Linked DNA regions of Oryzias latipes. The protein of the gene in region 4 purifies or fractionates together with the protein of the main gene of each other region. This does not show direct contact. Links are inferred from orthologs where the notes say so. Each region holds a gene or a part of one and is shown on either strand. Other genes may lie near its edges.

Region 1 (4,054 bases), on a different chromosome or scaffold from region 4:
GAACTGCCCCGGCCGCAGCACCTGCTCCGCGGGCTACAGCTAACACAGCAGGACCGCCACAAGTTAGCGCAACACGAGCTTCGCTGACACCCGAACACGCGCGGAAGACGGATGTAAGCACGCGCTGACGCAAAACAAGAGGCAGCAGACATTTAACGTGATACAACAGAAAAGATAAAACGTTTTATCTGAAGACCACGAATGAATGAAAAACAAACGCTAGCTTGCTAGCCACAACGTTGCGCGCGCGCGCGCGCCCATGATGAATGGAGTGGAGTGAATGAGCGTGCGCACACAAACCGTCCTTACGTCCTCTCTTGCAGCTCGTTATTATATTTGAAAATGGTTGTTGTTGTGTTCTGCCCTACGGAGAAGGGCACAAGAGTGATCTGAGGTTGAAGAGCGGAGTCTCCCTTGAGAAACGGAGGGGAAACACGGCTGGATGGATGGACCGTGAGTGACAGTTAGCCCGTATAACGGTACTGGACGTGCGCAGTAGACACAGAAGGGGAAGCACGACTGATGCGTTCAAATGCTCAAGCCAAAAATCCGAACCCAAGCTGTCATTCGCTCATTTGTTTTTATGCATGCTTGTTATAATTTTTTTAAATAACATCATCAAGGATTTGTTCACATCTGTTTCCTTTTTTTTCAGACCGATGAACATAAAAAGCTTTTAAGATGTACTACTGGCTATTTTTAATTGCCATATAAGGAAAATGTGGTGTGATTGGTTAATATTTGATTTAACAATACATAAAAAATAATTTATTCTTTAATAAACAGAACACAGCTTTGGTTGTATATATTTGTAAATACAGAAAATTGAATGCATTGTTAGTCAAAGGTTATATTCATAGAGGAAGAAAAAGAAAAACATGTATTTAGAATTCAAGTCTACAGGACTTTAATTGGGGGAAAATGGCTTGAGCTTAAAAGAAGTTCCCCTTTACATTTCTTATGTTTATGTTAAGACAAACTAAACAAACAGCAAACATTTATTCAATGTTTAATATTAAATAAATTTGACAGCCAAATAGAATTTGCAAAGATCAAGGGATTGAAATTCTTTGTATACACATTTATCATTTCTTTTAGTATTTTTATGCAGTTAATTAAGCACGTGTATTAAATGTATTCTTAAAAAATTGTCAAGTTAAAATACAAAACCAATTATATTGCAGAAGACAAAAACTTGAACAATGTAATTTCCAAGTTGACCCCAACGCAGCACCGATCGCAACTGTCGTAAACACTTTTTACACTCGTCTGACCGCAGGAAATGCAGATATTTTATATAAATTATAAGGATATATTTTTGGGTTTGTAAAATAATACAAAATTATTTCTTGTACTGAAATAATTGTTGCCTTTAATGTGAAAACAAATAATTGGTTGATTCAACCTGCTGTGTATTTGATGCTGGCGTCTTCTGTTTCCATCTATTTAGTTTGAAATAATATGAATTTGTACGAAACCATAAATAAAATGCTACAATTCAAAATTAAGATAATTTTTAACATTAAAACCATGTTTAATCCAGCATTGGACTCAAACCATATTCGAGCCTTTACTGTCGTAAAACGTACACAGCTGCGCATGCGCGCCTAGAACCGGATAAACATAAACGTGCCCGCGTGGTTTTCAAAGAATCTAATCATTTCAAAATAACTCCAAACAGCCTGAAATCCACACGATGAAAGAAACACCGCTGTCCGCCTGCGAGCGGGACTTTATACTGAAAGCCATCGAGGAGAAAAAGGTTTGTTTTCGTTCCTCGGTAACAGTTCCCTGATGACTACTGTGTACAACAACATTTTATTAAAAGCGTAGTTGTTTAACAGTTCGGTAAAACTCCGGGAAGGTGGTTTAATTTAGAAATCTTCAAGAGAAGAGGGAAAAATGCGACTTTTGCAGCATCAATGATTGATTTACTGATTTTAATACAAAAACTGTGCATTTAATTGATTAATTTTTGTACTTCTGTGGCCTTGATCACTGCAAGGTTCCGTATGCTGCTCGTCTTAGTGACAATCTGGATATTATAATGTGAGAAAAATATATTTCTGTGTTTTTTTTAATATATTCATATCCAGCCTAACTGCTTCACTCTCTGCTGGTGACTGAATAGAAAAAGTGAGATGGGAAGAGTTTAAGGGAAAACTATCACGTTGTCTTTTTTTCCGTGCAGCGTCTGGACGGACGGCAGACCTACGACTACAGAAAGATCAAGATCAGCTTTGGGACGGACTACGGCTGCTGCTTTGTGGATTTGGGACAAACCAGGTGAGCCCCAGGTTCTCTTTGTGGGGAAAACCGGACGTGGTGCGTTTGATGTCGCTCAGTCATCGGAGCTTTGTGTTTTCAGGGTCATGGCCCAGGTATCTTGTGAGCTGGTTGCACCAAAGGAGAGCCGCCCGAATGAGGGAATCATGTTTTTTAACATCGAGCTGTCACCTCTGGCCTCGCCAGCTTTCGAGCAGGGAAGGTTGGTTTTGGATCACATGACCTTATAGTTTTGTGCCTCGATTGTCTCTGTGTGGCTCATTTTTTGTTGTTTCGCCACATCCAGACAGTCGGAGCTGTCCGTGAAGCTGAACAGACAGTTGGAAAGATGCCTGAGGAACTCCAAGTGCATCGACACGGAGTCCCTGTGCGTGGTGTCCGGAGAAAAGGTCATTCCCACAAACCTGTGCGACTCGCAAAGCGACGTCTGCTTTCCTCTGAAACGCGTGTGTTCGCCCAGGTGTGGCAGATCAGGGTGGATGTCCACATGCTGAACAACGACGGGAACCTGATGGACGCCTCCAGCATCGCCGCCATCGCCGCTCTGTGCCATTTCAGGCGGCCCGACGTAGCCGTCCAGGGAGAGGAGGTCACGGTGGTGAGGGAGCAGCCCCAGCAGGAGGCGGCGTTTTCTCATCTGTCGGTTTACATTGTTGCTTTTCCCGTTTCAGTACAGCCCAGAGGAGAGGGATCCCATTCCTCTTAGCATCTACCACATGCCCATTAGTGTCAGCTTCTCCTTCTTCCAACAAGGGTAATAATCCACTTCTCCTGATTCATCCCCAACTCCTGACCATAAACTCACTATTCAAACTATCAATTGGAGATCACATGATCGGAAATCACAGTTTCAGACTTGATCGGAATTTATTTTTTATTATTTTAATTCAAGCTTGTTTTTTTTCTCCAAATAAACGTCCTACTCAAAATCTGCCGACCATGAACGCATCACGACATTTTACGCAGCGGAATAGGGCGTCATTTTGAGCAGGAGGCAAGATATTCCCACATTTAGGCTTCCAGGCTCTTTAAAGAAACATTTTAAGCTGACAAACAAGTGTTTCTATTGGTTTGTCTTAACTCACACAACTACTTTCGACGGCATCGTGAACTCTGATCATCTTTTGATCGCAGTGGTCTTTTTAATTATGTTTTTTTAGGCAAAATCACAAAACCTGTATCGTTTTCTAGGACATAGTTTCTGCAGAGCGGCTGCAGTTGTCTTGTGGGGCGGGAGTTTTGGTGTGGAGTAACCCCGCCCCCCTTCCCCATCATAAATCTTTTTACAGGCTCTCTGGCTAGCTTACAGCCCCCTCTCAAACCCAAGGTAGCATTGCCGGTGAGACATAGAGACGTACGTGGATCTGTACAGAGCTGGGAGCTTCTGGCTTGCCGTAGTAACGTGTTAAAAGGGTTTTTCCAACTGCATATTTTGTCAGCTCCTAATTACAAAAAAAATTCTCAGAAATGCAATTTTTAGCTAAATCTTCTTTTTCTATGTCTTCAATCATGAGAAAACACTACAAGAACACGTTATAAACACCACTTTCATCAAAGTGGGTCTTTAGTGAGATTCATGGTGTGTCCAAATTCGAGGGCTGCTTCCTTCAATAAACTACCTTTAATTAACTACAATAGGCCGGATGTGAACAGCTGTGAATTTGGATGAGCCTAACCGTTTGAATTATTCCAGCCGTTGCATCTGCGAATGTCCCGTCGCCTAGCAACCGCGAGTCCAGAACAGAGAGGAGAAGTGAACCAGGCATGG
Region 2 (4,268 bases), on a different chromosome or scaffold from region 4:
CCGCTAACGCGTGTACTCAATGGCTTCTTCCTGGTTTCTGGTCTCCGTTTAATTAACAAGGTAATTTGCTAGCTAGTTCTTCGACTTAAACTTTAATAAGTCACTGTATTTTATGTTTTCTTGAAGGGTCTCATCCAGAAATCTCTGCGGGAGGAATAAAAACGCACCCATACCCAACCAGGAAGTTTGATTACCCCTAGTAGATTCGCCCTGGGTATGGTCTGTCAGGAGAGAACCCGGGAAGGACTTCCTGTAAACTGACCAATCAGATTATGGTCTAAAATTAAATCCACCCCTTTGGCCAAAACGCAGGGCAATTTTTCTTCCATTTAAAATCATTTTATTTTTTTTACAAGTACTTCCAAAAAACACCCAAATAATCATATTTCTGACAATACATACTACAATACAATGCAATCAAACCACAATTTACAGATCTGAAAATTAATGATATTCCCCTAAAAGATGAAAAAAAAATGCACCAATAAATTAGTAACTCTAACCTTTAAACAAATAACTTTCTGCAACTTTAGTATAAACAATAGACGGGACTTAGAAACCACCCTAATGAACACATTTTTTTCTTTATACACAAAGTACCCACTTCCACCTAAAATGAAAGAAACGCATTTTAAAATAATATCTCAAATTTACCCTGTTGGAGATTTTTTTACATAAAAGATTCAAATTTCAATCGGAGCCATGCCTATTCTGTTAATCTGAAACTGAAACGTTAGAACATCTCTGTTACAGTTACAGATAAAAATATTTTGGACTGATATTCACAATTGGTTGTCACTCAAAGTTTTAAATATTCCCTTTTTTCCTTATCTGTTGTTATTTTCTATATGGAAAATATGGACCCAGGAATTTCTGATGTCATTAATGTTGTTATTATTTAATGCAAAAATTTCATTCATTTATGTAAATGGAAAACTACATGCCCTTTGTTTGGTATTTTTTGAATTACTTTTCTGATTATTATAAGTGTCTTAAATGCATTCCAAACAAAAACAAGAAAACTACAGTAATTTATCAAAATATATCAAACGTACTGTTATTTTGAATTGTTTTTTGCCTTGCCTTTATCATATTTTTTAAATTTTGTTTTGTTTTTTCAATATGCGCATTTATAACGATTGTTCACCCTAACTTGTTTTGTATATGTGCATTTATAAATATAAAAAAATCTGAATATAATTAAATAGAAATATATTTTAAAACTGTCTATATACTCTTTATGATATGGACAAACATAGCACAAGCATCTACATTCCTACACAGAAGAAAAAAAAGATTACTCTCAAAAATGTATTATTATTGTCATTATTTTATTATTATTATTGTTTTTGTATTATTATTATTATTATTATTATTATTATTATTATTATTATTATTATTATTATTATTATTATTATTATTAAATTTTGTGATGTTGAACAGCAGCTCCCACTTCTTCCAGGTGGTGGCGACATAGTTCCTTCATCGAGAAAACTGTAGAAGAAGAGCCTCCCGGCACCGTTTCTTCTTCTTCTGTTTGTTGAGTTAACATGGCAACAGTTAAAGTTAGCGAGGCTGAAAAGGTGTACATTCTACACGGAATAAGAGTGAGTTGTTCTAGAAATGTGTGCTCTATTAAGCTAAATGTCTGTGAAGTTGTCACACCAACCTAAAGATGTGGATGTTTGTATTCTCCTCAGGATGATTTACGTGTGGATGGAAGAAGCTGTGAGGACTACCGACACATGGAAGTGGAGACGGATGTGGTCTCAAACACTGATGGATCTGCCAGAGTCTCCCTGGTAAAATCAACATTTACGTGTGAAAGATCCGCAGAAACAGTGTCTTTATTTTCCTTCCATCGTGCTTCTCAGGGACACACCGCCGTCCTGGTTGGGATTAAAGCAGAAATAGGAAAACCAAGACCACTGGTTCCAGATGAAGGATACCTGGAGTTCTTTGTTGATTGGTAGGTTTAGTGTGCATTTAAAGCAGGTTTGGACATCAAAATGTGCACAATTTGACATTTGACAGAATTGTATTGCATCAAAACAGTAAAGAAAAACATTGAATAGCCTCTATAGTTTATTAAAATGAATAATGTTTGCATTTTTGGCTTGATATAAATATTAGAAATACCTGAACCCTAAACCGTTACATATTTGATTTCTTTTTGGCTAAGTTGGGAAGTCTCTCTTGATGTTTTTGTTGAGATCATTACATGTTCTAAAGCTTATAATGCATGTTTAAATATTTTTTGTGTTTGTTTTTGAAGTTTGAAGGATGTCTTTGTCCTGCGAAGCATTTTAAAGTAATGAGGATGTTTTAAAAATAAAGTTTATTTTGGATATCTGTTTTTGTTTAAATCATCTTGCAGGATAATAAACTCCTAAACTAATAACTGCTGGGATTAACTGTTGCACCATTGACTCAGTTTTCCCCACTTCTCTCCGCTTTCTTCTGATTCTGTAACTCCTCATTCCGATTGGCTGAACTCACCTGATCCAGGTATTCAGCTTTAAGACGTAGAGGGTGTTCATGAGGACCATGCCGGGCTGTTCTGGTTTAAGAATCGGAACCAAACTGAGTTATTGTCAATGTTTGATGTTTTTTTTTGATTCCCTGACATTTTTTTCCCCAACACCCCCAGCTCTGCCAACGCCACCCCCGAGTTTGAAGGCAGAGGAGGTGAGGAGCTAGGGATCGAGCTGAGCAACACTCTCTACAGAGTCTTCAACAACAAGAACAGCATAGACCTGAAGGGCCTCTGCATCAGTGCTGGGGAGCACTGCTGGGTTCTCTATGTAGATGTCCTGGTGAGTCTCTTTAACATAAAAATATAAACACAACATAAAAATGTTAAAAATAAAACAATAAACACAACAACAATAGACGTAAATTCAGTAATAATGCTAAATCTTATGATTTTTAAGTTTTTTAGAATTTTGGGTAAAAAATTGGGTTAAAAAAACAGGTTGAAGTAGACATTTACATGTTTTTTGTTTGTTTAGGAAAAACTTGTTGCTGCATTTAGATTTTTTTTTTAAATAAAGTTAAGCAAGTGTTTTGTTTACCTTGTATGCATTAAAAATGAAATGCTGAAGTATGTCTGCTGTGCTGCTGAGGGGTAGCAGATGGGGTCAAATCAGGTTAAAATTAAGAAAAAATAAGGTTGTAAACTTGAAAAAAGAAAAAGAAGAATGTTTTGAAATGGTGTTAAACTTGAAATTATACATTCTAAACTTGAAGAAATACAGAAAATTGGATACAAAGATTGTAGATTTAAAACTTAAACTAAAAAAACTATAAACTTACAAATGTTACCAAATAAAAAATGATCTTCATTTGTAGCAGCTGCCGTTTTATATAGTGAAGTTTTGGTTTTTTCGTTTGTTTAACTAACAAAAACATACCAGTTTCTAATAAACATTAATTTTATTTCATTTTCACTGTAGGTTTATAGTTTTTTTATTCTAGTTTCATAATTATATGCTGTTGTTTTTTTTTCTTTCTAATTTTAAGCGTCATTTCTTCATAGTTGGGTAAAATAATTAAGAGACACTGATGTAACTCCATAGTAGCACTTCAACTTGTGAAAGTATCAAGAAATATGTATTTTATTTTATTTTTTGTTCCTTAAACCCCAAATAGTCATACCGGCCTGCAGTGGATGCAGTTTGTTTTTCATGGAGGAGGTTTGTCGGACTCAAGAAACACTAAATGAGTTGAAAGGCAGCTGATGTGTAATGAGGAAGTGAGGTCTACTTAGTCAGTCAGCCAGTTAGAAGAAATGCGGCCTGAGAAGGGGCGGAGCTTCACCTCAAAGGCCTCAAATGATTTGTAAAAACCACCACTTCATAAAGGCGTTTGCATCGTCTTGTTTGCAGCTGCTGCAGTGTGACGGCAACCTGTACGACGCCATCTCTGTCGCCATCAAAGCGGCACTCTTCAACACAAAGTGTGTATCAGTTTTTCACATTTCGTCGTGTTTGGAGACGTTTTCAGCTCATCCTGTGCTCCCATCATTTCTCCCCCAGAATCCCTAGAGTCCACATGTCGTCGGACGATGAAGGCGGGAAGGAGGTGGAGCTTTCAGACGACCCGTTTGACTGCGTGAGGCTGAGCGTGGAAAATGTTCCCTGCATCGTGACGCTGTGTAAGGTGAGCCGCTGCTCGCAGGTGAAGTCCGTGGTCGTAAACGCGACGGTTTGTGAAGAGTGGCTGTCGTTGAGCAGGTGGGCCACAGACACGTAGTGGACGCGACTCTG
Region 3 (4,077 bases), on a different chromosome or scaffold from region 4:
TTTTTTCCCTAATATTTGGAGGACTACAGATTTCTTAGTCGCATTGGTACGTTTCTCACTACAGTATTAAAGTTTGCAGCACTTCTAAGGCATTTCTCAAAACAGATTTTTCAAACTGCAAAACTCGATGCACAACCTGCAAAAGCGAGTCACTCTTTCAGAATGGAAAGTCAAATTCTGGAAAGGAAGTCAGTAGTTAAAAAATGGGTAGTTCAAGCTGCAAAAGCAAATCCCTTAATCAAAGTGGATGAATTGATCTTCAAAGTCAAGTATTTATGTCAGTGAAAGTTTCAGTGTCATCAAAATAACAAGTTATGACTCCAGCATCTTTGAACAATCAAGTCAAAAGGTTTATACATGTTTTCATTGAGACAGATTACTCTAAAAGTGCTTCCCAATACCATGTGAGACAGCATTACATACCACGAATGGCGTTTAGAAAACTGGAGTTTAATAAAAAATGAAGACACTGTATATGCACTTCTGCTGTAGACTCACAAAGGTCTTTTTTTAAATCTCTTTCTGCATGGTTTTCCTGCAATCCAGGCCATAGTTCATATGTTTTAACAGAGGGGAGTGGGAAGGGTGGGTTGGGTTTTTACTGTAATATTGTGTGTTTTCTGTTTTTAATGCTAAAGCGCTTCGAGCTGCACAAACGCATGAGAAGCACTATTTTATAAATAAAGTTTGATTTAATTTGATATGACATGGTTTACCACATGATCTTCAAGTCTTGCCCCATACTGAATGTAGTGACTGACCAAAGCTGTTTGTCTGATGATCATTACACAAACTAAATGACCTCCCTCCCAAAGAAGAAAAAAAAAGAAAGAAAGCAAGAAAACAAAAAAAGGGGAACACCAGTACTTAGTTTGACAGATTATCTCTGCTCATTAAGTCACAAATTCTCTACTTTGAATGGACATTAAATTTGTTGTTCAGAGTTGTTGACATTTGCAATATTACCGTTTGTGCGCAGAACAAAGTCATTTTATTTGAGCAGAATTAACAACTTTGTCATTTATAGAAATAATTCTAAATTAAACTTGCCAACAAAACCCAAAAGACTAATTAGAAACGAGAAAAAAATCGTTTTTAAAAGCTCTTTTTTATGCAGCCCACTTCTAATAAAAAAGTTTTTGTTAAATTGTATAAAATATTAAATTACTTCCAAATAAAATTATATATATATATCGATACAAAATTAACCAAATTATTTGTTTACTGCTACACCGTCACGTTTCATGCCCATGCGCACCTCTTTCGGACACACCCTCCCACTCTGAATTAACCAATCAGAGTCGCCTCGCGCCCGTGAAAAGAGCCAATTGAGTGGTGCGCGTCTTCCGCAAACATGTCTCCCACGAGGCTGTGCGTTCCAGGTAAGTCTCCGTAAAAACCGCTTTTAGCGGTTTTCTATTGGTTTTGTGTGTTGTTTTTTTGTTAATCCCGTTTGTGAGTCTGTCACTGGGACGCCAGAAAATGGCGTAAAATTCTCCGTAGCGGTATAACGTGTAAATGTTGCTGCCATAGCTACGCGCGATTTAGCTCGTCTTTGCGCACTCATCGTTTAGGTAGTAGTAAATTCGTAGATTTGCGTTTGTGTGCATGCTTATATTTCCCTTTTCTTACTTAGTTTGGGCGCGTGCTCGCATTTTCTGAGCTCCGAGACACGTGAGGGGGCGGGGAAGGCTCGACACGTGAAGGACTGTGACTTTTCCCACCCCCGAAAACTATGCAGTCGATCCTTAGGATCACGTGGTTATAGCGGGGCCCCATGTGGTCCCCTTCAGAAGTTCGGACGGGTACAACATTTTAGAATATTGACTATTGAAAGCTGCGTCATGCATCAGCAGAAATGTGGTGTTCGTCTGAAACAGCTTCTAGTCAGTTAAGTCCTGCTGTCTTTGTACAACAGTTCATCATCATTCACTACTGTGTCAAACTTAAGGCCAGGGGGCCAAATGTGGCCCTCCGTGTTATTTTATGTGGCCCGCGGGAGCATGAAAGTTTTTAATTTCTTAAAATGAAATGTTTTTTTAGTTGATTACATATTATTTGTGTAGCTGCAGTTGTAATTATACAATGTTTGCCGGTCTTGTGTGTGTATGCAGACAAATTGTTGTCATCAAACCATCAGTTGGATGCAAGGCTGTGAGCAGCCTTTTATTGTAAAATGTTACACGTGTAATTAATCTTCTTTCTAGCTCAGTTTTAAGTTATTTTTCTTTTTTCACTTGGACAGTTTGAGCGTGGGTTTTAATAAGCAGACAAAATGTAGAAGGATTTATGCTAAATTAACAAGCAAACATGTTTTCTATGCAACTGTAATTGTCACTATAAAACGTTATATTTAATAAATGAGTTATTTAACATTAAGGAGTAGTTACGTCTATCTTTCATTACATTTGGTTACATGTATAAGTTATATCTGGCCCTTTGAGGGCAGCTGTTATGCTGATGTGGCCCTCAGTGAAAATGAGTTTGACACCCCTATACTAATCAGTATTTACCTGTTTAATCAATTTTGAAAAGACGTATTGAAACTGTAGTTGGAAATGTGTCTTTTTAATAGTGTAAATATTGAAACAACAAAGCATTTAATGTTAAACTAGGAAAAGGTGAACATCCTGAGGAACCTTTTCAATAATCGGATCCAATATACATCTTGAATGTTATATTTGTCATTTAAACTAATGGCAGAATAAACAAATGTATAATTGCAGATGTCATGCCCCTCCACACACATGGAATGGACTCATAAATGAACCTTTGAATCTGAGCTGTATTTTACATACTTAGAGCCTGAAGATTATTTCACTAAACATTCAGTTATATATATATACTCTAGCTCCCCTTCCAATATACTATTTATGAAATCTCTATAATATTTATTTCCTTGTTGGAATTCAAAAACAACAATGTAATAAATAATATTGTTTATTGTTTGCTGTTTTGCATATGCATATGTATAAAGGAGCTTTGTGCCTCTGCTGTGAGAAAAACGAAGCAACTATTGCAAAGTTTGCAATAATTTCAAATGGAAAATTATCAATATTGAAAGAAAAACAAGAGGGGGGGGGCAGACACATGACAGGCTCTGATTGATTGAACACACCTGATCAGATAATCTGCTCTAGAAAACAGGTAAATCCTGTGGTTTTACTGTGGTTTGGCAGGAAGCCCCACCTTCATTCTGACCATCTGTGTCTCAGGTGACAAACTGTGCAGCGTGGAGGACTGCATTCTGGGAACTGGAGTGTATCTGCGGCACGGCTACATCTACTCCTCTCTTGCAGGCTACGTGCTGAAGAAGAATGAGGGGGAGCAGGTGAGGAGGGGTGGATCTAGCAGAGTTGACTTGTTGACACATCTTCCAAGTCTGTAGTTAAGGGGATTTTCCTTTAAAGAGAGAGAGTATTTTGTTTTAATTTTTTTCAAATTTGGGGACAAACTGTAGTTCATTTATCGTCCAGCCTTACCATTAGCCTGACTCCACCCACCCTCTAATCCAGAGGGATCAAAGTTTGGGATGGAACGGGGTGATGACGAGTCTGGTCCGCACTGGTTCTCGTGCACGTTTGTGGTGTTTTACAGTTACCTGTGATCTCTGTGGTCAGAGAAACAGAAGTCCAGCTGTTGCCAGATGTGGGCGCCATCGTCACCTGTAAGGTAGGAGGGGGGGCTGACACAGGTGGGACCTACACTTTTAGCCTCATTAGGAGATTTTTCCAGGACTTTGTCACATTCATGGTGCTTGTTTGGTAGCGGAATTGTTTGCAGATTAGAAATATAGATTATCATAGATAATTAATTAAATTTATTTTTTTAAACAGAAGAAAGTGCGATGATGACAAAATACATGTGGTAAATGGATTCAGTATTCCTGCCTTTGTCTTTGCTGTTTTCCTGCATGTTTTTAAAATCATAAATAAATAAAAACATCATAACTAAACTCACAGCTGTAGACTCCCTTCTAGTCTAAAGCAGCTCCACATTTGAAACTGGGTTGCATTTAGCATCACAGTTTGACATCTTTTCTGTCTGTTGCTGAACCACAGGGAGACTTTCAAAATC
Region 4 (3,500 bases):
TGGTAGGAAATGTCAAGAGCTTAACCTTCACAATTCTTTATTTGTGCTTTGGCAGAATAATAATTTATTGCTTCTTATTCCAGTATTTACCTTCCACCGATGTGCATGTCAACAAGAATGCCAAGTTTGACCCATCCTCCAAAATATTTGAGGTACCTGAAGAGCTTTTTTGTGAAATATATTGACCGCTGTTGTTTTTAATGTGCTTTGCTTACTTTGGCACCCTGACAGATCAGCAAAAGGTGGAAACTGCAGAGCATTGAACAGCAGCAAAAAGAGTTAGAGGCTAAGCAAAAAGCCAAAGAGGAAGCAAAGCAACAGGCAAAGAAAGCCTCAGGTAATTGGCTTTTCTTTTCTACACATTACCTTTTCAAGCATTGTTTCCTCACTTTTTATCTGTTGAATTCTCTCAGAGAAAAGAACGAAGACTAAACAAAGCTACCAGGAGTCTCTTCAGAATGTTGCCACTGTGCGTCAGCAGGCAGCAGTAAGTCTTTTTACATTTCCTCGTTTCTCCGTTCATTTTGTTCTTTTGAACTTCAGACAAGCACCTCAGGTCTGTGTTGGAAGGCATGGCATATTCTTTTAGCTGGATTCACTCAAGGGCCCGCAACAGCGTTGAAAGGACAGTAGGTTTATGACTACTTTAACTCTGTGTGATACTTTATATTTTCCCAAGACAGTGAGTCCCCATCAGATGAACGGGTCTGCAGAAACACAGAATGGGGGCCATGTTAAATATTCTATCCTATAGAGGAGGAAAAATGTACAGCATGTGGGCTGGGTGTTATAAAAGTGTCTCAGATTCATTGGACACATTTTTGTTCCTCTTGAGTAACAAAGCCTCTTTTCTAGGAACTAGCAGCCTCCTGCTGCTAGTTCCATTCCTCAGGGGGTATTACTTGGCTTCCTTTTAGTTAGTTACTCGCACCCCCGCTGTCATATTAAACTTTTCTGATTTCTTTTCTTTCCAGTTTAACACTTCAGTTAAGCCTTTTACCACAGAGCAAAGCTTTTTGTCCAACTGCTACAGATAATCCTGGTGGTCATAAATCAGAAAATTTGGCAGCTGCACTTGAATGTCACAGGTGTTACTGTCCAGACCAGTGTTTTTCAACCAGTGTGCCGTGGGAGATGGTCAGGTGTGCCGTGGGAAACTACCCATTAACTGATCTAAAAACATTTCCCATCTCCAGGATATCAGCTCTGTGTTCATCCAAACAGGCCCTGATAAAACTGAGTAGTTAGGAATGTGAAAGATCGTAAAAGACTTTTACTTTGTGTTTATTTGATTCTTTTAAAGACATTTTGCTAAGAATGACGGTACCGTGATTTAGCCGTAGCTTCAGCTCTGTTTTCGGAAAAGTCCCACCCCTTTAACTGTCTCCACCAATCATTCTTGGAGGCTTAATCATACGTCATCAGTCTGACCAATCAGAAGTGGTTAAAGTCCAGACTTCCTTGTCCCGATTTAGCTCATAAAGTCTCTCAGTTCCAACAAAAATACCAGCTAAAGCTCATCTTAAGCGGTGTAGCTTTCTGCACGATCTGCTGTCAGACCGTGGAGCAAGTGAACAAAACAATGAAGCTCAGAGAGTGTCTGCGATCGGCGTCTGTTTCACACTACACCTCCCATGATGCATTGGGTTAAAGTGACAGCGTCTCAGTGAGTCCTCCCTGTTAAACGTCTTGAAACCACAACGAACCCACATCAAACCGTTTTTAAATCTTCTTGATGAAATCAGAGGTCAACAGTTTAGTTCTCCTTCAAGGTTTGTGTTTATTAACATCCAAACATCCCAGAGTTTGGTCCAAGTCATCTTTCTAACTGAAACACTTTTCTAATGAGGTCTGGATTATTTTATATGTCATTCTTTCTAAATCACTATTTAGAAAGAATATATTTCGTTTTTTGTGGGGTTAATTAAAATTGCATGTCAGTAAACTGAAGGGAAAAACAACTACCAGGGTAAATTTTCAAATAATTTAGTTCAAAATAATTACTGAAAACTAACTTAACTTTTATTACATCTTTTAGAAGAAACAGCTGCAACTTCCAGCTTTTTCTGCCACAATTATCACAACAGTGCATATGAGATTGCAGAGAAACTGTACATCAAACAGACTATAGAGTTTCTCCATTTTTCAATTTTGGATGCTGGTGTGCCGCGGGATTTTTTGTCAAGGATAAAGTGTGCCTTTGCTCGAAAAAGTTGAAAAATACTGGTCCAGACACACACTCACTTCCGTCTGCGGCAGCGTTCAGTAAGGATGCATCGATTCACTTTCCCAAAGGTTCAAACCTCGATTTTTAAATTGCAGTTTTTTTTCGGTGTGATATAAACTAAAACTCAGAAAAAACCTTCGTTTGATTTGCTAATAAGTCACCTGACATGGGTAAAAAAAAATATTTTTTTTCCCACAAAATAATAATTTGTTCCCACACAGTAGGAATTTGTTCCCACAAAATATTTAAATATTTTACTTCAAATCTCGTAATGTTATTTTTTTTGTTTTTGTGACACTAAAACTCTGTTGAAGCCTGAAAGTTTGATGAACACAGAGCTGATGTCATTGCAATAGTGAATGCTTTTTACACTGATTTAGGTGAAATTAGATAACTTCCCATTGCATACATGATGATCTTTCATGGCATACATGTGTACCGCGGCACACTGGCTGAAAAACACTCATCTAGGAAACCAAAGAAGGGCCATAGCCGATGACGTATGTGATGGACGCCAGCAGAAGACGGGACCAATTTTATTTAGTGCTTTCAAGAATACCTGTGTCCTAAAAGAGAAAGAAGTGTAGATGATTTAGTTAAAAAAACAAGCCAAAATAAGAACAGAATGGAAGGTTGACCAACATTATGAAAAAACATGGATGCAGCCGACTCGGCTGTACAGATTGTCTGAATCACCGGCTCCCTTGTCAAGGCTACCTAATTAAAACTACCCAAAAGAACCAATAAAGCTTGTAAATTATAACAACCAGGGTACATACAGTGTGCCACCTGTCAGCCACTTGCAAATATTGGCTGTTAGCACACTAGTACTTTCAGCTAGCACCTCTTTGCCGTTCGGCTCTCATGGCTGGTTTTTCAAAAACACAGATTCACTAATAGCTCAGAAATCTGTTCACAGGCAGCACTTGTTTTGTTGTCCTTGTTGTTGGTTTTGCCACCTGTTACATGAAGGCAAACCTCAAAGGTGAGATGTAGCTCACAAAGCTTCCGAATTAGATTAGGAAGAGAATAACAGCCTGATTTTTTTTTTCCAAAACGTTTTATTCACAGTGACTGTTCTGAGTGTTTTACAGATGCACAAACGAAAATATTTTTTAAAAAATTAACCCATTACGATGAAACAAACTTGGCTAAGCAGCATTTAACAAATAAAAAAAACAAAAAAAATCAGAAAACCCGAATTCCCACCTGAAATTTGTGGTCTGGAAGAGTTTTCTAACATTTTAAATGTTTCTCTATGGTCCACTTGTGT
Region 5 (4,068 bases), on a different chromosome or scaffold from region 4:
TCCTTGGAGTGACTGCACACAGCAGACTGCACACAGAGCCCCACCCACACTCACCTGGACGTTGGGTCGGTTTCGCTTGGTGGCTCCTTCAAACGCCAGGTAAGACAGAGACGCCAGCTCGCTGCCGCCAAAGTCCACCCTGAAGGTGTCTCCTGCTCGGGCCGTCACGATCCCGATCACGGTCTCCCCTTTAGTGGCGACATACTGAGGAGAACAAACCATTGACTATTCGAGAACTGGACTGAAGGACCCCTCCCTCCTCATGCTCCAAACAGGAAGAACCCGCTGGCTCCAAGAAGCCAAAATCCCATTGACATAACTTCTCACATTGAATGTGTGAAACATTTGACAGATTTTATGTAGCCTGCTTTCAAGTGATAGGGGTGTGACCTTCAAACAAGCTCACTCCTGATTGGCCACTATTTTTTATAAACCATTAGGTTTTCATCATCAGAACACAGTAGATTCATAAAGTCGTCATAAAATGTTCATATTTATTACCTTTCTATTTAGGGAAACGGGTGACGTCATATTGGCATCAGTGTTGGGAAAATGACTTCTAAAAAGTAACTGTTTACTTAGTGTTACAAAATTGTAATTAAATTACTTTACTCACCTATTTAGTACGGTAATTGCCTACCGGTTACTCCACTTTTTTTCCTCTCACATACAGATTCTCAAGGCAAAAAACAGTTTTCACAAACAAGATCCTCTTGTCATTCATATAACTTTATATTCAGAGAAATGACCTTGTGCAAATTTGAACCTGGCTCAAGACATAACCTGGTTTTATTAGAATTCAGACAACAATGTGAAAAAATACACAAAAAAGTTACAACACATGTGGTCTATAGGCCACTGCTCAAAGTGAGATGTGGAAACAAATCAGTTACGCCTATGATCACATCTGTCGAATCCACTCTTTTAAAAACACAAAGAATTATTTAATGCCTCCATGTTCATTTTCTCTGACTTAAGGTATTCCATGACAATGAGTTGTGCCTGTCTCTCTCTCTATACGTCTGGCGTTTGTGCAGTTCTGAGCAGCTGCAGGTCTACTGGACCAACACCACCCCAGCACCCACCTGCAGAGTGCATTGAGCGCCAACTCACGCTGACCAGAGACGCAGTCATGTGCAGCACAGAGAATAATTAAGTCAAAATGGGTGAAATAATATAGTAAACGCCAAGATCCGACTTTAGAGATGTTTCACTGCCAACCAACCCATCATCAGTACACGGGGCGGTTCTCTACTCTGCTGCTCACCTGCTGCTGCTCGGGGAGGACAAGCATCTCTGTTTGTTTCATCTTTGAGCCAGTAAGCCATTTGTATGGGTGACGTCACACTACGATTCTCCTAAGGCAGTGTTTTTCAACCAGTGTGCCGCGGCACACTAGTGTGCCGTGGGAGATGGTCAAGTGCGCCGTGGAGAAATTGCCCTCATTAACTGATCTAAAAACATTTTCCATCTCCAGGATTTCAGCTCTGTGTTCATCCAAACAGGCCCTGATAAAACACTGAGTAGTTAGGAATATAAAAGATCTTAAAATTACTTTTTCTTTGTGTTTATTTAATTCTATTAAAGAGATTTTGATAAAAATCACGGTACCGCGATTTAGCTGCAGCTCTAACTGTGTAAGGAAAAGTCCCGCCCCTTTAACTGTCTCCGCCAATCATTCTTGAAGGCTTAATCACATGTCATCAGTCTGACCAATCAGAAGTGCTTAAAGTCTTCACTTCCTTGTTCTTAATTCTGCTGATAAAGTCGCTCAGTTCTAACAAATATACCAGCTAAAGACGAGCTTTAGCTGGTGGTTCATCTCTTAGAAAAAAACAGCCGCAAATTCCTGCTTTTTCTGCCACAATTATCACAAAAATTCACGTGAGATTGCGGGGGGGGGGGGCGCTGTCGATCAATACAGACCATGAATTTCTGCTTTTTTTTTTTTTTTTGGATGATGGTGTGCCGCGGGATTTTTTTCAGGGTTAAAGTGTGCCGTGGCTCAAAAAAGGTTGAAAAACACTGTCCTAAGGATCAATGGAACGAACGCACGCGGACACATTTATTCACAACAAAGTACATTATTTAAGCAAACACAAGTTTGCAAAAATGAAACTTGTGTTTGCATAAATAATCTGGGTCTAAATTGAAAATACGCAGATCATGTGTGGATTTTTTTAAATTCTTGGTTAGTTGAGTGCATCGAATCAAAACCCATATCTCTGTATCAGTCCATATGTTTTAATTTGATAAATAATTAATTTAGTTTATTTTGATGTATTAGCTTGACGCGTATTTGGTTTTTATTTGATTATACTTTGTTATTTGTAACTGATATTTTTACTATTTGTTATATAAAGCACTTGAGGTGGATTTCATCAGGAAGTGCTATCAATAAAGTTGTGTTTGAATGCTGGTTGTGACCGGACCGCTTCACATTAATGCTCTAAACACGTCTCTGGACCGCTGAACGCAGTTTGTTGGGATCTCAGAACCTTTGGTTCGGACCGGTCCGCTCTTACCCGCTTCTGCTGGGAATCGATCCAGAAGGTGAGCGGCGGTTTGTGCCGCAGCACGCCGCTCTTCATCACCACCAGGCGGTCTCCGCTCCGCCGCAGCCCTGGTCCACACACCGCGCGCTCCGGCTTCGCGCTCTCCGACAGAGAGATCGTTTCCTCTGCACCAAAGCAGAACTCGTCCCCCGGAACCAGAACCTGTCCAACTTTCTCCTTCAGAACGGCGAACATGCCTCCTGTCGTGCTCATGGTCGTCTTCTTCTTTTTGTTGTTTATATCAGATCCTTACTTTGCGCCCCCTGGTGACCAGGAGGAACAATAGCGCTTTCTAAATTATAAGAATTTTCCTGTTTAAAGGACACACCTTTCAAAACGTTTTGGATAAATCCAGGTCTCACCAAATTTCCTCTAAAATAATCGTCTTTGAAAAAAGGTAAAATAATTTTCTACAGAAACAAAAAGTAGTATAAAAATGTCTCAATAGTGTAACACACAGACACACCCACACACACGTACACAACTCAAACGATTTAGGAGCACTAAAAAAGACATGCTATGCCTGAACAAATGAAATATTCTTTTGAAATGCTTCATTCTTTACATATTTGCATGTCCTGACAACACAATAAAATAAAAATAGTAATGGAAATTAAAACTATTCGGCTATGGATGTCTGGATGTGTGAACATTACATGCTGATCCAACTTCAATGTAATTTCTTTGAAACAAGTCAAAATGAGGCTCAGTAGTGGGCGTGGCCTCCACATGCCCATATGATTCCCCTGCAATGCCTGGGTACGCTTCTGATGAGGCAGCGGGTGGTCCTCCAAGGGATCTTCTCTGACGCCTGGACCAAAGCATCTGCTAACTCCTGGACAGTCTGGGGTGCAACCAGGAGTTAGTGGATGGACGAGACATGATGTCCCCGATGTGCTCAATTGCATTCAGGTCTGGAAAGTGTGCGGGCCAGTCCATGACATCATTAGCTTCGTCTGGCAGAAACTGCTGACACTCCAGCCACATGAGGCCTAGCACTGTCTTACTTTAGGAGGAACCCAGGGCCAATCGCACCAACATGCGGTCTCACAAGGGGTCAGAGAATCTCATCTCAGTACCTAATGACAGTCAGGCTACCTCTGGTGAGCACATGGAGGGCTGTGTGGCACTCCAAAGAAATGCCGCCCCAAACCATACCTGACCCATTGCCAAAGCGCTCATGTTGGACAATATTGCAGGCAGCAGAGCATTCTCCACCGCATCTCCAGACTGTGTCAACAGTGACTATGCCAAGCTTGGTGTTCTACAGCAAATGTCAAATGTCTCGCACGGTTTTGGGCTGTCAACACAACTCCCACCTGGCGACCTCATGGAGTCTGTTTCTACCATTCTGAGCAGACGTGCACATTTGTGGTCAACTGGAGGTTATTTTGCAGGCCTCTTCCCGTTTCTCCTTGCACAAAGGAGGAGGCAGTGGTCCTGATGCAGGGTTGGCCCCCCTTCTATGGCCTTCTCCACATCTCCTGATGTACTAGCCTGTCTCCTGATGGAA
Region 6 (3,741 bases), on a different chromosome or scaffold from region 4:
CTTTAAAAAGTAAGTTACATTAATACCAATTTTGTTTCAGCAGGTAAAGAAAATGATAGATTATTCAGCCTCAACGGACTGAAACTCTTACAAAACATGTATTGTATTGTGACATAAAAATTACTTTTACAACAAACAAAAGCAAAAGCAGAATAGCCTGTCTGCAAAACAAATCAAAGAAAATTAATCTAAAAAAAAAAGACTAAACACATGAACAGAGCATTTCATTCAGGAATAAAAAGTATTGTTTTGGTGAAAATTTGTAAGATATCAACACAGCTAAATAAATTGGATATAAGAATTATCTAATTTTTCACAAATTGTTTACTCTTACGGATGTGTGGTTTAAAATAAAGGTTCTTATTGTATCAGTCTGAAAACAAAGCTTTATTATCTGTTTATATATAAAATGCTGATGTTGCTGTTTCAGTTGATCACATTGATTTTTGCATCAAAAACAGGTCAGTTTTCAGCTAATAAAACAAATGCAAATACAAAGAAACGATATACATTCACATTTATTCTTTATGCACAAATATACTTAATAAAATGTTAAGAATGACGACAAAATAAGTGTTGATCCCAGGAAACCATTTGTTTACTCTTTCCTTCACCATTATTCTCTGAGCGTAGAACCTTCTTGGAGATGTTGCCTGACCACCTGGTCCAGGACTTTGCTCACACCTTTACAAGCGGTCATTGCCGCCTCAATCAGAGTGTCGAGGTGATCCTGATGCAGTCTGGCATCCATCTGGACCAGAGCGATCTGCCCTCCGCGGGGCAGAAGCGCCAAAGCCAGAGAGCTCACTCCTCCGCTCTCCTCTGCGTAGCAAAGATCGGCAAGAGAGGTTTCATCCACGAAGCCCACTGTGCAGGCGCACACATAGTCCCTCATCGGTATCCCTGCGTCGATCACTGCCAGTGTGGCGGCGTTCACACAAACGCTGTAGTTCCCCCCGTCGGACTGAAGAATCTTGAATGATGAAAACGTTCTTAAAACAATGACGAAAACAGATGCTATGAAGTAGAGCGCAGTATACTATAAATCTAAGGCCAACCTTGACATAGATGTCTATCTGGGAGCGTGGGTAGAGCTGGGTCAGCACGGCAGCTTCAAACGTTTGCTTGAGGTGAAGGCTCATTTCTGTGGACTTGCGGTCTCCGTGCGGTCTCCTCTTCCTCTCCGCCGTGCTGAAGGTGGCCATGCTGTACTGGCAGTTGATAATGGCTCTGTCATGAAGAGCCCGACTACGAGCACCTCGAATCTGAATGGGAAACAGGAAGTAAGCATAGGAGAACCATAAAAAAGGTCTGACATTTTTCACAGGGCGGCATACATCTGTCCTTTGAGTAAAACAGCTTTTTAATCCATCATCAGAGGTAAACCAGACAATAAAAACGCCAGACATGGGAGAGTTTGAGGTCAACGGCACAGATGAGCAAAAACAACATCTCAGGTTTTCCATCAGAAATATCGATGTTCTACAAGATTTAGGAAAGACTTTCAGGACAGAAAAGATAACCGTGAAACATTTTGGGTGATGTGCCTCGCATCACTCTAGTGTAAAACATTGCACAAACAGTCAAACATGGTGGTAATGGTGTCATGGTAAGGGGCTGTTATATTTGGGGCTTGGAATACTTTTGGTAAATGAATAAATTAACCAACAAATCCTCAAATTAACTTGGATTTCTCAGCAAGTCAAAGATTCAAAAGCAGTAAGTTTACCTCAGAATAGCATAACAAGTTCAAAAACTCTTGAATGCAGTTGTTAGTAAGTACTGTGTGACCGAGCCAGATAAGTAAACATTTTGTGTTACTGATACAATAAAATGCTTTGAAGGAAACGTATTATACTAAAATCATTACATTAATGTAAAATATCCCTTTAAATCTGACACATTACATAGAAATATCTTAATCCTTCATTAAACGCAGTTTGCACCGTTTCTTTGGCTGCCATGAACAGACTGGTGGTGTTGTTTTTACGTCACTTCTCCACGCGCGCGCGCCACTCACTTCATGCGGGCCGTAAACCACCGCCAGAGCTTTGGTGTTTCCTTGCTCCAGATACGCGGAACCGTCGGCCTGAGCGAACACCCCCATGCGGGCCTGGACTTTGCGCAGCTCGGTAGCTTTTCTTCCATCCAACCGGTATCCTTGATCAGACAGCAGCTCCAGACCCGCCATTTTCCCTAGCTTAACTACACGACAACACACGTGTCTACTGATGTACTACATTAACCATCATCCTCTTCGAGCAGTTACAGCAACGTCGGAAGAAAGTGTCGCAAAAAAGATTTCCATATTTATTTTACTTAGATGGTTTAGTAACAACTTCTTACTGGAAAAGTAGCCTAACGAAACATTTAGAAAGCCTTTTTTCTTATTTTATATTATTTTTAAATCTAACTGATACGTCAGAACAAAAGAAGTAGATAAATGCGGAACTACTAGTACGCGAGTCAAAACTAATTAATAAAATAAATTAAAATCAGGAGCTGAGAAATTACACACGGCATGCAGTTTTTACATTTAAGAATTCTGACTTTAATCTCACGACTCCGATTTTTAATTTAAAATTACAAGATAAAATAAGACTTTAAGCATTTTAAGTTTTAGGAATTCAGATTTATAAATATTTTCAACACAATAAACACTTCATTTAATGTCAGAGTATTGACATAATCTGATAAAGATTAATCATGATTTTAATAACTATTGTTTTTTCTTGGGAATGTCAATTTTAAAATACTGTCTTTAAATATAGAATTTTGATATTAGAGTACAGCAACATTTTCTGAAATTACTATAAGAATTCTTTAAAGGACACCTGCAGATTTTCTCATTTTCTTTTATTTTATTAATTTTTGCCCCTGACATCTTGACAAGTTTTACAGGCGCTGCAGTTTGTTTTATCTTCTGTCTGAAATCAGAACCCAAGTCAAAGTATATTTATTTTTCCAAAACATCTTGGTTTTCAAATTTTAAAAAGTAAATCCAGTGTTAATCTTTTTAAATAAAATGTTTTAGCATTTTTGTAAATTATACAGAAGATATATTTTCATTTCTGATGTTAAAAAGGATTCAATTCTATTGTCATTTATTTTTCTAGTTTAATTTTAATATTTTTGAGCGCCAATCGTTCGTGATCATTTTAAATCAGATCAACATCTTTCACTTTTTCATATTTAAAAAAAAATTTGTGTTAAAGCATTTGATAATTTACAAATATGAAGTAGACTTACCTTGTAATGCCATATTTAAAATAAGTTTTTTGTGTGTTTTTAAATTGATTACAGAGTAAAGCTTTTCACCTTTTAAAACGTGTTTAAATTGACTACATTTTGGCCTGCTTTGTTAATATTTCAGTCACACAAACTGCCTGCCAGCATTTCACTTTAAAGCTTTTATCAGATCTCAGACGACATTCCAGCCTCATCTTCCATCTCTTCATTCTGTTTGTTGCTTCATTTGTTGTCTTTTTACCTTTAGATTTGCTTTAATATCGCATTTAACATCAAAATCCTTTCCATCGATAAAGGTATGAAGATGAAGATGAAAAGATGAAGCCTAAGAAAAGGAGTACAACTCAAACCTCAAGAGTTTTAAAAATAAAATTTATTAGCATCTCTAATGTGTATAAATAAAAACATATATGAAACAATGCATATACGTATAATGCAATGAGCTCAACAATAACAAGATTATATGTGATATGACGGAGCGGTCTTTCGTTT
Region 7 (4,006 bases), on a different chromosome or scaffold from region 4:
GTACAGTGACTGCATAAACTAAAGAAACTAAATGAACCTCCCCTGATTGTGTTCGTGCAGGGACAGCTGGAGCAGCGCGTGCGTTCACTTCACTTCACGACTTACCCGGCTGAACCAGATGCTGATCTGGGTTTCTGACACCAGGGCGAAGTAAAACCTCTGAGAGCTGGGCTGGATCTGGAAAGGCTCCTCTTCGCTCCTCAGCGGACAAAGCAACCTCCGGGGCCAACCGGTTAGAAAATACATGACGGCGCTCTTTAGTTCGAGCAGGCAGCGCAGCAATCCAGATCCTCGGTAGTTGCCTCTACGGGCGACTCATAGTGCTTTCGTCGAGACAAAAACACTACTAAAGAGCCCGGTGATGGCGCTGGGCAGGTTTAATCCACAGATTCCATACAGAAATACCAAAGCAGCCGACTGAGCTCCACGGCTAGCCCCGGGCTAGCATTGGATTTTCAAACTTAAAGCTAGCGAGCGGTGCGCGGTGTCCCCGAAAACAAAAGCGGCGAGGCCCGTCGCGACACCGTGCAACGCTAAATTGTGCCCGCTGTACCAGTATGCTGGCCAATCCGCTTTGCTCCCCGAGCTTTGTCAGTTGTTACGCTGTCTGGACCAGTGGTGTTCATTAAGAGATAAGCGTCCAGTTTTTACTCCACTGAGCCTCACTGTCGCCATCTTTACAAAGAGTCTATCCATCTTAACGCTGATTGGTCAGCCGCACGAAATTTGCTTAATGTTGACATCCAACGTCACCACTCTGTTATGTGACAATGGCTGCTGCGTGACACGAGGGTGACACCTAGTGGTCAAGTGAGAAGACATCCAGAAAGAATGTATTGTCATGGAGTTTCATTAATTTCTTTAATGAAAAAAAGAAAGAATAGAAATATGGAGTCCCATACTGTTCATAATTAAATAAATAAATATTTAATTAAATAAATAAATATGACCTCATGCAAATAGCAATGTGAGCAACATGATAAAGTTACAGTATACGAAAAAAGAAACAGAACTCAGCTGATTTCTTTTTATCGAAGACCAAATGTGACATTAATGGACAATAATTTGGTGCCAAACTGCATGAAAAAGAACGGAATTTTTTTCTAATTTGGAATAAAAAATAAATATTTGTGAGGATGGATATTATTTCAAGATGTGCTGCACAAGATACACTGTAGTAGTAACTCCATACCACAAGGAGGTGCTAATGTAGCTATAACACGCTTTTAAGACGCCAAAGAAGCAAGTGGAGGAAAGTTTTGTGTTAGCATAATATGCTGTTTGGTTGGCATTTATTACAAGTTTATAGGGTAATCATTTGTTAATTTAAAAACAAAAACAAAGATTCAATAACTACGTACACCATTTTTTTTTGCATTTTTAAACTTAAATCTGACTTAAACGAGTGTGAAAGAAGCCATAACCAGAAGAGTTGCGGTAACAGCATGGCTCTTGATATGAGATTACCGACTGTGAGGAAAACGGTGTCTCTGTCAGCTTCCGCTTTCGACCGAAAGGATCTCGTTGTTCCCGGAGACATCATCACTTCGGACACAGGTTTTATGAGGTAGGTTCTGCTTGCGTTTTGGAACACGTGTTTGATACCACGCTGATGTAGTACGGTAAGCTACATGCTAAAAAGAAACTCAGAACACACCAGAACTTATTTAGATGTGTCTTTGATCTGATGGAATACTGATGAAGGATAAGAAATTACATCTTTACATGATTTTAATAAACCATAACTACAATTTGTCGTTTTCTAGGGGGCATGGCACTTATGTTGATGAAGAAAAGCTGACAGCTTCAGTTGCTGGAGAGGTGCAGAGGGTGGACAAACTCATCTGTGTCAGACCACTGAAGACCAGGTGAGTGTGAAGGACAAAAATCTTCAATGTTTATGAACAATAGAATTGGTTGGTGGATTGACCCATTCAGATCGGACTAGCCCCACTTTTGCAAACATTCTTTAAGATCATTTGTGCGTCATTTTAGATTTAATGGCGAGGTTGGAGACGTTGTGGTCGGCAGAATTACAGAGGTGAGTTATTCCAACTGTTCTCTAAAAAGGCAAAACGAGATAACAATTTTTTTTGTTGTTGGATTCATTGTATCTGTTTTTGCTAATAATCTTTTCAATCTGTTTGATTTGATGGTTATATACAGGTGCAGCAGAAACGTTGGAAGGTGGAAACCAATTCCAGACTGGACTCTGTCCTCTTGCTGTCATCAGTAAACTTGCCTGGAGGAGAGCTGGTGAGACAGAACTGTGTTGTTTAACGAGAGAGAAGCGTTACAGGATGAGTTGAACTGCATGCTCTTTTTTGTTGTTGTTTTGTTATACAGAGGAGGAGATCAGCAGAAGATGAGCTGACCATGAGAGAATATCTTCAGGAGGGTGATCTCATAAGTGTACAGAGGATTTTCTAGTCTTTTTGCCAACATTTCCCCCTCATAGTTTTTGTCACTAAAGACTACTTTGCTGTATTTTCTCACTGTTTTTAGGCAGAAGTGCAGTCTGTTTTTTCAGATGGAGCCTTGTCATTACATACTCGCAGTTTAAAATATGGAAAAGTAAGTGCACAGTGTTACTATGTTGATATCTCCTTTTGGTAAATTTTACAGAGCTGTTTCCCTGTTGTTGTTATACATGTTGAATAAATTTGTGTTTCTGGCCATGTTCACACTGCAGGCTGAATCCAATTTTTCTGCCCCTATGCGACCTGTGTCTGATCTTTTTATGACAGTCTGAGCGACACAGATCAGATCTTTTCAAATGCGACCTCCGTCTGAATGGCCAAGCCACATGTATCCGACCCGTAAGTCATTATTCTGCGTTGAAGTAGGCGGGAACAAGAACATGAACATCAACCATGCCGGACGATGCTGGTGAGACCAGTCATTGGAAGGCAAGCAAGGTCACCGATTGGATTAAAATTTGGGGTGACAGCTCTATTCAGGCCAAACTCGAGGGCTCTTATCGCAACCGGGCGGTTTTTTGAAAAAAATTCCAGCGAAATGGCCGAGCGTGGGGTTGAACCTTCCTGGCAATTACTTTTTTTTCCCCTTTCTGACCGTGGTCAGAAGCGCGGGGGACCGAAGGCGGATCCTCCTTTGGGCGTTCATTTCCCCGTTCGGACCCTCAGATTCTCTAGAGCAGTTTAATAAAGAGTCAATAGCAGCCTTTTTTTATTATCGTTGTCCTTCCTCCGTAACACACAACATGAATGCGCACAGCGCAGTAGGGAATGCTGCGCTGCACGTGCTCTCTCCTCTCTCTTACACACACACACACGTGCTCGCGCGGCCCCAGCACATACACATCCCCATTCCACCACAGTGGGTACAGACGATCCTGGCTCCAATGCCTTCTTAAAATGAGAAGATTGTAATTGTGCTGGCTCCATCTTGAAAATAAATGTAAACTGCAAAAAGAGCTCCGCTGTTGACAACACTGTAGTTGACATCCATTGCTAACGTTAGCTACTTCCGCAAACAACGAGTGATGTCGTTCCCCGTTGAGTACTCTTCTGCGCATGCGGGTCACTTCTGGGTCATTTCACGGTCACACAGGAAATCACAAAAGTTCGCATTTAATTGGAAATGTGAACAGCCTTGCAAGAACATCGGATTTTTTCTAAAAAATCAGAATTGAGCATTAAGCCCTGCAGTGTGAACGTAGCCTATAGGTACCGGTATATCATTTTTTTTCTTTTCTGGGTCTCTGTATTCTTGTTAGCTGGGTCAGGGAGTGCTGGTGCAAATTTCACCTTCTCTGATCAAGAGGCAGAAAAGTCACTTCCATAATCTTCCATGCGGTGCATCTGTTATCCTTGGCAATAACGGCTTTGTGTGGTTGTATCCCACACTGGGACAACAAGAGGAGGAAGCTGGAGGTTTCTACACCAGTCTTGAGGTAACTTTGTAGGTTTATAAATATTTTATGTTTCAAAATGATCAAAAAGTGTCATCTAAAAAGTGTTAATTGTTTTAAAAATATTTTAAC

What was found.
Region 1: the proteins of exosc10 (region 4) and exosc9 purify together in Homo sapiens (co-immunoprecipitation; 7 studies listed by BioGRID and IntAct, with this or other methods). This does not show direct contact. The link is inferred for Oryzias latipes from reciprocal best matches to the Homo sapiens genes EXOSC10 and EXOSC9.
Region 2: the proteins of exosc10 (region 4) and exosc7 purify together in Homo sapiens (affinity purification with mass spectrometry; 6 studies listed by BioGRID and IntAct, counting the BioPlex papers as one, with this or other methods). This does not show direct contact. The link is inferred for Oryzias latipes from reciprocal best matches to the Homo sapiens genes EXOSC10 and EXOSC7.
Region 3: the proteins of exosc10 (region 4) and exosc1 purify together in Homo sapiens (co-immunoprecipitation; 8 studies listed by BioGRID and IntAct, counting the BioPlex papers as one, with this or other methods). This does not show direct contact. The link is inferred for Oryzias latipes from reciprocal best matches to the Homo sapiens genes EXOSC10 and EXOSC1.
Region 5: the proteins of exosc10 (region 4) and exosc3 purify together in Homo sapiens (affinity purification with mass spectrometry; 8 studies listed by BioGRID and IntAct, counting the BioPlex papers as one, with this or other methods). This does not show direct contact. The link is inferred for Oryzias latipes from reciprocal best matches to the Homo sapiens genes EXOSC10 and EXOSC3.
Region 6: the proteins of exosc10 (region 4) and exosc4 purify together in Homo sapiens (affinity purification with mass spectrometry; 9 studies listed by BioGRID and IntAct, with this or other methods). This does not show direct contact. The link is inferred for Oryzias latipes from reciprocal best matches to the Homo sapiens genes EXOSC10 and EXOSC4.
Region 7: the proteins of exosc10 (region 4) and exosc2 fractionate together in Homo sapiens (co-fractionation; 9 studies listed by BioGRID and IntAct, with this or other methods). This does not show direct contact. The link is inferred for Oryzias latipes from reciprocal best matches to the Homo sapiens genes EXOSC10 and EXOSC2.

What each region holds. Positions count from the first base shown.
Region 1 is NC_019859.2:5,412,190-5,416,243, reverse strand, and holds the start of exosc9 (exosome complex component RRP45), read left to right. Parts: upstream 1-1,254; 5' UTR 1,255-1,696; coding exon 1,697-1,762; intron 1,763-2,191; coding exon 2,192-2,286; intron 2,287-2,368; coding exon 2,369-2,488; intron 2,489-2,572; coding exon 2,573-2,675; intron 2,676-2,746; coding exon 2,747-2,884; intron 2,885-2,957; coding exon 2,958-3,040; intron 3,041-4,054. UniProt on the Homo sapiens protein: Non-catalytic component of the RNA exosome complex which has 3'->5' exoribonuclease activity and participates in a multitude of cellular RNA processing and degradation events.
Region 2 is NC_019869.2:5,727,888-5,732,155, reverse strand, and holds the start of exosc7 (exosome complex component RRP42), read left to right. Parts: upstream 1-1,468; 5' UTR 1,469-1,550; coding exon 1,551-1,607; intron 1,608-1,700; coding exon 1,701-1,802; intron 1,803-1,874; coding exon 1,875-1,969; intron 1,970-2,650; coding exon 2,651-2,816; intron 2,817-3,887; coding exon 3,888-3,958; intron 3,959-4,037; coding exon 4,038-4,161; intron 4,162-4,235; coding exon 4,236-4,268. UniProt on the Homo sapiens protein: Non-catalytic component of the RNA exosome complex which has 3'->5' exoribonuclease activity and participates in a multitude of cellular RNA processing and degradation events.
Region 3 is NC_019859.2:28,378,248-28,382,324, forward strand, and holds the start of exosc1 (exosome complex component CSL4), read left to right. Parts: upstream 1-1,277; 5' UTR 1,278-1,354; coding exon 1,355-1,382; intron 1,383-3,215; coding exon 3,216-3,331; intron 3,332-3,597; coding exon 3,598-3,672; intron 3,673-4,077. UniProt on the Homo sapiens protein: Non-catalytic component of the RNA exosome complex which has 3'->5' exoribonuclease activity and participates in a multitude of cellular RNA processing and degradation events.
Region 4 is NC_019865.2:9,473,456-9,476,955, forward strand, and holds part of exosc10 (exosome component 10), read left to right. Parts: coding exon 1-2; intron 3-83; coding exon 84-152; intron 153-231; coding exon 232-337; intron 338-413; coding exon 414-487; intron 488-3,500. UniProt on the Homo sapiens protein: Catalytic component of the RNA exosome complex which has 3'->5' exoribonuclease activity and participates in a multitude of cellular RNA processing and degradation events.
Region 5 is NC_019868.2:3,163,611-3,167,678, reverse strand, and holds the start of exosc3 (exosome complex component RRP40), read right to left. Parts: upstream 2,801-4,068; 5' UTR 2,769-2,800; coding exon 2,526-2,768; intron 205-2,525; coding exon 55-204; intron 1-54. UniProt on the Homo sapiens protein: Non-catalytic component of the RNA exosome complex which has 3'->5' exoribonuclease activity and participates in a multitude of cellular RNA processing and degradation events.
Region 6 is NC_019875.2:26,759,988-26,763,728, forward strand, and holds exosc4 (exosome complex component RRP41), read right to left. Parts: upstream 2,256-3,741; 5' UTR 2,192-2,255; coding exon 2,021-2,191; intron 1,266-2,020; coding exon 1,059-1,265; intron 974-1,058; coding exon 617-973; 3' UTR 501-616; downstream 1-500. UniProt on the Homo sapiens protein: Non-catalytic component of the RNA exosome complex which has 3'->5' exoribonuclease activity and participates in a multitude of cellular RNA processing and degradation events.
Region 7 is NC_019870.2:12,830,056-12,834,061, reverse strand, and holds the start of exosc2 (exosome complex component RRP4), read left to right. Parts: upstream 1-1,206; 5' UTR 1,207-1,445; coding exon 1,446-1,567; intron 1,568-1,766; coding exon 1,767-1,868; intron 1,869-1,995; coding exon 1,996-2,041; intron 2,042-2,166; coding exon 2,167-2,256; intron 2,257-2,346; coding exon 2,347-2,412; intron 2,413-2,505; coding exon 2,506-2,574; intron 2,575-3,739; coding exon 3,740-3,916; intron 3,917-4,006. Other genes in the region: ric1 (RAB6A-GEF complex partner protein 1), read right to left, coding at 106-246. UniProt on the Homo sapiens protein: Non-catalytic component of the RNA exosome complex which has 3'->5' exoribonuclease activity and participates in a multitude of cellular RNA processing and degradation events.